Linked DNA regions of Notamacropus eugenii. The main gene of each other region encodes a partner of the protein of the gene in region 2 in a complex. Links are inferred from orthologs where the notes say so. Each region holds a gene or a part of one and is shown on either strand. Other genes may lie near its edges.

Evidence for each region.
Region 1: IQCD (region 2) and EFCAB2 share a complex: the UniProt entries of both Homo sapiens proteins name them as parts of the nexin-dynein regulatory complex. The link is inferred for Notamacropus eugenii from reciprocal best matches to the Homo sapiens genes DRC10 and DRC8.

What each region holds. Positions count from the first base shown.
Region 1 is NC_092873.1:406,150,138-406,153,882, reverse strand, and holds the start of EFCAB2 (dynein regulatory complex protein 8), read right to left. Parts: upstream 2,226-3,745; 5' UTR 2,023-2,225; coding exon 1,998-2,022; intron 1-1,997. UniProt on the Homo sapiens protein: Component of the nexin-dynein regulatory complex (N-DRC), a key regulator of ciliary/flagellar motility which maintains the alignment and integrity of the distal axoneme and regulates microtubule sliding in motile axonemes.
Region 2 is NC_092875.1:32,967,666-32,971,410, forward strand, and holds the start of IQCD (dynein regulatory complex protein 10), read left to right. Parts: upstream 1-1,058; 5' UTR 1,059-1,721; exon of another isoform or gene 1,722-3,048; intron 3,049-3,745. UniProt on the Homo sapiens protein: Component of the nexin-dynein regulatory complex (N-DRC), a key regulator of ciliary/flagellar motility which maintains the alignment and integrity of the distal axoneme and regulates microtubule sliding in motile axonemes.

The sequences.
Region 1 (3,745 bases), on a different chromosome or scaffold from region 2:
GCATCAGATGGTATGCCATCTTAGGGAGAGAAAACATTTCCAACTCACAATCTTATAAAAGTGAATGCTGAGAACTAAAAACAAAGAAATAAAAATTTTATTGTTCAAAAAAAAGAACGTAAACTCCTCGAGGCTGCAGCCTACCTCAACGCCGAACCCTGCTACGAATTTGTGTCTCAGCCGGCGCTCTGTGGCCCTGCAGGCCGTACAACGTACAGACACCTGGCTCAGGTTCGGTTCTCCACAGCCCGCCTGCAGTCCACAGACAGGGGCCATAGGCTTTCCCTTTCTAAGGTCCAGTTGCTTTGCCAGGACTTTTCTGAGCGCAAAGCATTTCTCAACCTCCGCAGAACTAGAGCAGTATTTACGCTATACCGGAAGTGATGTTGGAACCGCAATACCAGGTTCCAAACGGTCAACATGCATTTATAAATACCTGCTCTATATGGCAGGTATGGCTGGGGACACAGACAGGCAAAAGAAGGTTCCCTGCTCCTGAAGCTTGGTCTGAAGCAGAATCAGGGCATATTATTTATCCCTGTCAACAGTCATATTGAAAATACACGAGGAGGGGCTTAGTAACCTAAGACTAGGCTTTTAGTACTCCACAGGGACTTCCTAAGGCCTACTATGTGCCAGGCATTGTGTCTAATAAGCCTTGGGGACAAAAAGGCAAAAACCAGTCCCTGCTCCCAAGGAACTCAGCGTTTAAACGGAGAAACAACGAGCAAACAGTGATGTAAAAACAAAATACTGACACAATAAACTGGAAAAATTCAAGTTGATGCAGGAGAATGTGGGGGAGGGGTCCAGGTTGGTCAGATTCTGGCTGAGGAAGTCGCGGTTTTTGTTGTGGTTGCTTTAACGTACGGGAACGTGGTGACTGCCGGTTTCAGGGGGTCTCTGCAGCCCCGCGGGGCGGCTCCCCTCCCGTCTGAGGCCCGCGGGCCCCGGGCTGGCCTCGCCTTCTTCTCCAGGGAGCCTCAGCTCCTCAGACTGAGGCCTTTATTTTTATTGTGTGGGGAACCCCCCGGGGCTTGAGAAGAGAACATGTCCGCTTGCACGCGGCTGCAGATGGGGGCCGCACGCAGCGAGCTCAGCCCGGGCCGAGGTGGGGGAGGGGGAGAGGGAGGCGGGCCTGCTGGGCCCGAGGCGCGCCAGCATCCTCGGGCCTGCTTGCAAGGAGCGCCCCGGAAAGGCAGCCTCTCGGGCGGGCGGTCCCACTTCATGGCCAGGCTTCCCGAACGCACTTCCTTGGTCATGATCGCGGTGAGAGGTGGTGTGGGGTGTTTTTTTTTTTTCTCCCCCCAAAATGAATAAATAACTGTCTCCGGCCTGGCTCTTTCTTCCTACGCACAAGCCAGGGCCGGGGAGAGGCGCTTCATGGTGCAGAAGGGGGAGGGAACCGCTGCAGCCTCTTCCTCCCGCCCTCGCCTCCCCGCGCCGCGGGAAGCAAAATGGTGCCGCCAACGGTCGTCAGGCAGAGAGACAAGGGAGGCCCGGCGCGGCCGCGTGGGGGCGATGGGAGGAGGAAAGAGGATCCAGGAGGAACCCCGCCGGCCCTAGTGGGCGGACGCAGCCACCTCCATCCCTAATACAACCACCGGGACACCATCTTTTTGTCCCCGAGCCCCGGGCGGGGGCGCTCGCTACAGTTTCCCGGAAGAGGAGGAGGGGGCGGCGGGAGGCGCCGAGGCGTAGCTCTCGGGCACCGCGCCTGGCCTGGGGGAGGGGAGATAAAAGAAGCGGGGGAGGATGAGAAAAAGGAGAGGGGGAGGAGAGCCGACGTATCCCTCCCTCCCCTACTCCCGCGCTGGGCGGGGCCAAGGTCACCGCCTTCTCCCCCCCTCCCCCGTGCACGGCACCCATTCCCCTCAGCGGGTGGCACGTCCAAAGGGGTATAGGCAGGGGTATCCTCTAGGGGTGCTTCCTCCAAGGCCTCTGGCAACGCTCAGCAAGCCAGGCCCGGCCCTTCCCTTCCATAGGCGGTTTCCTACCTCCGCTGTCTCTATCGTCCGCCATCTTGTTGCCGGCCCGGTCGCCCTGGAGATGCCAGGTGGCGCTGGGCGGCGGCGGGAAAGAAGAACTGCCTGGATCTGAAGGGGAAGGGGAGGGGAGGGAAGGGAGAGAAACACCATGCCCAGCCCCGCCGCGGCCCTGCGCCGACTTCCAGAAGGCAAGTCCTAGCCGTAAAGGAATGGGGAGGCAGGGCCGTGGAAGACGTGGACAACCCCCCCCCCACGCAAAAGACCCCTCCTTGGGAACTCGGCGCCCCCGCCATAAAAACGTGGGCCCCGCCCTAGAGCCCCAGAACCTGGAGTGTTGTTAGACAATTGCCGCCAAAGCGCTCTCTTCCCGCCCTCCACAGGGGGGACCTCCCTCCTCCTATTCTCCCGCTCGTTTCCTCCCTCCCTCGTGCTCCCTGGGAACGGCTGCGTTTTTATTGCCAGATTTAAAAAAAAAGGGGGGGCGGCTGGAAACGTGCAGGAGGCGCGGTGGGATCGAGCCTGGGGCCGCCCTTCCCCCCAACCGGAGGCGAGCGGCCCACGTGGGGCGCGCGCGGGGGCGGCCCCTCCCTCCCGGGCCCGAGCGAAGCAGCGGCCGCCAGCAGGCCCTCCCCGCCACCATCCATCCCCACCCATGCTCCCTTCCCCGAATAGCCGGGGTGGCGGGGGCCTTCAAAGCACCCCTGGGCCCGGAGCGGGACGAAATGGGCCTCGAGGCCGAGCAGCGCCGGCTGTAGCCCAGGCTCCCGCTAAACCCTGGCGGCGGCGTTGTCGGGGCTGCGGCGTCAGGCACCAGCCGGGAGGCAGAACCCAGGGTTCTCCTGGCAACAGCGCGCCCGGAGTGCCATGCGCAGCCTTCCATAGGGCCAGGCGATGGGGCTTTTTTAAATTCTCCGTCACGTTCTCCTGCTGCAGTTGCTGAGAAAACTTCAAGCTTTTTTTTCTCCGACATTTGCCACTTAAAATGCCTCTAATCTTGAAACGTGGTTCCAAAGCTCGGTACGCAGGGTTTCTTTTTAAAGGCTATTGAAATGCTGTGCTCGATCCATTTGATTTTTTTTACAATTTCAAGTGAAAAATAAATTCACACTGCCCTGATTGTATTGTTCGTACTAAACAAAGGGTGGCCCCTTGGTGAATTGCACGAGCCGGAGGTCGCGCAGTAAAATAAGTTGGCTGCATTTTTTCTTATTGACATACTAAATCGTATTTTTCTTGGAAGGATTTCTGCACAATAAGTATCTGCAGGCCCAGAGCTCGCTAGGCCAATTTGTCATTGAACCTGAAACTAACCAACCCGTGTTGGGAGGAAGTCCTAGGACTGCATGGTGTTCTCAAAAACTTAAATTCAGATTTTTTTTTGTTACTTCGGTGATTAAAGATGACGCAGGTAAGTTTCACATGTCAAACTGTGCCTGTTTTGTCATTTCAGTCCAGTAATATAAGTTCCCCATCACACACTGCCAATATAGATTCAGAATAATTGACAAATTCAGTTTCCCTCCTAGGCTTACTACTTGTTGATAATATTTACATAGGAAAAGGTCTATCCTACAGATTCTCCCTTGTTAGAATCAGTGGCATCAAAGGCCAAAATCCAGTTTAGCAGTAACTAGATCTACCAAGGAGGTCAGTTTTCCCTCTCCCTGGAGAAACTTTTCCTGGACTAGTAGCCATAGTTTACAGATGGACATAAAGAGGAATAAACTTGAAAATTTTCACATTGTCCACCACATTTG
Region 2 (3,745 bases):
GTCCACTCCCATATATGGGGGGGTTCGGTCAGCTGCCCGGGGGGGGGGGGGGGGGGGGGGGCGGGGGGGTGGGGGGTGGAGATACACTGGTGTGTTAGACCAGGTGAGCCCCTGAACAGATACAGGGAGAGGAAACTCAGCTTCGAAGTTAATTCCAAACATCACGGCTACTTTAAACCTCCCAAAGGCTCCCAAGTGGACACAAGGAGAGGGTGTGACTTCTCTCCAGAGCAAGGGGTAGATTTGGGAGCCACCTCCCCCCAAAAATGCTAAGGGCGTTGTGTTTGTGTCCTGGATAAGTGGAGGAGAGAGAGAACACCGGAAAGAAAAGGAGAAGTGGGGTGGGATGAAGGGAGAAGCAAAGAGAAAGGAAGCAACAACAGGAGAAAGAGAGCTGTGCTTGGAACCAAAGGTCCTGGGTTCGAATTCTTCCCGTTCTGCTTAGAAGCTGGGTGACCCTAGAGAAACCACTTCATTTCCTTCCCTTCGGCCTCAGTTTCCCCATCTGGATGATGGATGGGGGTCAATGGACTGAGGACCCTTCCTGCTCTAGATTACTTCTCCCTCCCCGTGCCTCAGTTTCCCCAAATGTAAAATGGACTAGATCTCTACGGTCCCTTCCATCTCCAGCTCCAGGATCCCGAGAAGAGAAGAAGGGACGGAGGAAGGGACTCAGCCCGTTTGGCCTCCCCTTTACACGGGTGCATCGCCCCCCCTCCCTGTGCCCTTCGACCTCCGACCCCCGACCTCTCCCTGGGTCCTTACAGGAGACACCCCCGCGAGCAGCGATCGCGAATCGGGTTCCGAGCCAAACCTTCTGCGAGACGCCGCTCCGAGAGTCGCGGGCCGGTGGCACGACCCGAACTCGCCGCCCCGGAGAAGGGGAACGCCGCAGCCGCCGGCGAGCCCGTTTCCATCCGCCCGCTATTCCACCTCCCCCCACCCAGCCCGGTCCCGACCCCGTCGTAGCCCCGCCCCCTTTCCCGGAGGCCTATCGCCTGCACGAGCGGACACCGCAGCTCTCCGATTGGTCGGATGGGACGCCCTTCCCTTTTCTCCGCCCACTTGACTCTCCTCCTCTTCCCTTTCCTTCCGTTCTCCGGGGCACGAAATGAGCCTCCGCCCCCTTCCCAGTCTGCGGTGCTCTGATTGGGCTTTTCTCTTTTTCCCGCCCTCTGCATCTTGGAGGAGGAAAGGATGCCTAAAGCTAAAAAAATTACAGTTTCGTTCGGCTCCCCTTTGTGGGGTAGCCTATCCTTTGATTGGCTCTGAGAAACGTCCTTCTACTTTCCCCGCCCCTTGCAGCCTCAAGGGGTGGCTTCCCCTCGTTTTTTCATTAGTTCTTCCGGAGGCCTTGTGGGGGTTCTTATTGGAAGTTCCTTGCTCTTTTCCCCGCCTCCAGCATGCAAGTCTCCTCCCCTTCTCCTCCTCTCCCTCTCTTCGCAGCCTAAGGTGCATCCGTCTCGGCTCTTTCTATTGGTTGTCGGGAGTCGGGGTCTCGGAGTCATCGAACTCACGGTGCTTCCGATTGGCTGGAGCCTGTGGGGTAAAGGGTCGTGGCCAAATGGAAAATGCCGGACGTTGAGTGGCGACTGCTAATTCCCGCCCCGGATGTGGTTGGTCTGGTTGAGTTGTTTACCCGTAGCCTAGCAACGTGGCCACTCTGGAAACTGAGGAAGGAGTAATTGAAGGGAAGGGAAGCCCCGCGGCTGCGCGGGCGGGTAAGTGGGGTCGTGGCGGAGAGGACGAGGTAACGGAGAAGATGAAGTGGACAGGGGTGGAACTTTCGTGCGACTAAAGGTCACGTAGTCCATGCCCCTGCCTCCGGGCAGGAACATTTGCCCAGCCCCTCCCCCACCGGGTGCCTTTCTTATGGCAAGGATCCCCCGAGGCCATCTAATCCAACTGCCCAATATTACTGAGGACGAAACTGAGACCGAAGCAGACAGAGCCAGGATGTGAATCCAGGATCATATAGGAATGTATGAGCTATAAGGGATCTCAGAGGCCATCTAGCCCAATTCCATTATACAGATGGGGAAACTGAGGCACAAAGAGGTCCAGGCTCACAGGGCCAGTTAAAGGGCAAAACAGGGACTGATCTCGGAATCTCCTGGATCCCAGCCCCACGAATATGCTCTGACCATCCATTGAATTTGATTTTGATTTGAGAGCTTTGCAAGTATGCCAACTCCAACTCCACCTACTGGATCTTGCTCCCAGTCTGTCCATAAGTAAATATTTTTTAAGTACTTACTATGTGCCAAGCTAGATGGTTCAGTGTATAGATCACTGGACCTGGAGTCAGGAAGACTTGAGTTCAAATCTGGCCTCAGATACTTACTAACTATGTGACCCTGGACAAGTCACTTCACCTCTGTTTCCTTTAATCCACTGGAGAAGGATACGGTGACACTTCTCCAGTATCTTTGCCAAGAAAATCTCATCAACAGTACAATCCATGAGGTCGTGAAGAGTTGACACAACTGAATGACTGAACAAGAACAATGTGCCAAGCTAGGGATTATGAAATCCCTAGAAACAGAGTCCCTGTTCTCAAGGAGCTTGTGGTTTAATAGGGGAGACAGGACGCAAACAACCATGTCCAGATCATATGTATACAGGATAAATTAGAAATCATTAACCAATGCAAGGTTCTAGAATTAAGGGGTATCAAGAAGTATGTCTGAGGAAGAATGAGGAGCTTGATGAGAGGAAACAAGAGACAAATGAGGTTGGAATGGAAAGAGCCTTGATTTGAATGTCAGCAAACCCTGGCCGGACACTAATGAAATATGATCCTGGGCAAGGCATTTGAGTTTTGGTAGGCCTCCAATTTCATCCTCTCTACAATAATGGTATTAGACTAGATGATCTCAAAGATCCTTTGAGCTGTGAACTTGGAACAAGCTCTGAGGTCAGAATTGCAGAGTCATGAAACCAGAGGGTCCATCATTGAACAAAAATCCTCTCTACCCAGACCTAACAAGGGGTCATCCAGCCTTTGCTTCAAGACCTCTAATGAAGGGATGCCCACGATCTCCTGAGGTAGCCCATTACATTTTAGGAGACCTTTAGAAAAGTTTTTCCTGATCTTGAACCAAAATCTCTTTTCAGCTTGCATCCATTTCTTCTAGTTCTGTCCTCTAGGGATGAACAAAAACAAATTTAGTAACTCTTCAGATAACTGAAAACTGCTATCATGTCATTACATTCCACCTCCACCCCCTGCCCCAGTAATGTCTTATTTAGGCTAAATACTCCCAGTCTCTATATAGAACAACCTCTGAGCCTTTTACCATCCAGGTTGTCGTTCTCTGAACACTCTCGTTCACATGTGTTCATATTCAGTCATGCCCTACTCTCTATGACCACATTTGGGGTTTTCTTAGCAGGAATACCAGGGTGGTTTGCCATTTCCTTCTCCAGCTCGTTTTACAGATGAGGAAACTGAGGCAAGCATGCTTAAGTGACTTGCCCAAGCTCACACAGCTAGTAAGTGTCCTAGGTTTGAACTCAGGAAGATGAATCTTCCTGACTGTAGACCCAGCATTCTATCTGCTGTATCACCTAGCTGCCCCTGAACACTTTACAACTTATGAATGTCTATCTTAAAATTTGGTGCTAAGAACTCAATACATCTGATCTGACTGGAGCAAATGAAAAAGAGATTATCCCCTCCTTATTCCTTGAAGTCAAACTTCTCTTGATACAACCTGAAATCAAATCAGCTTTTCTGCCTGCT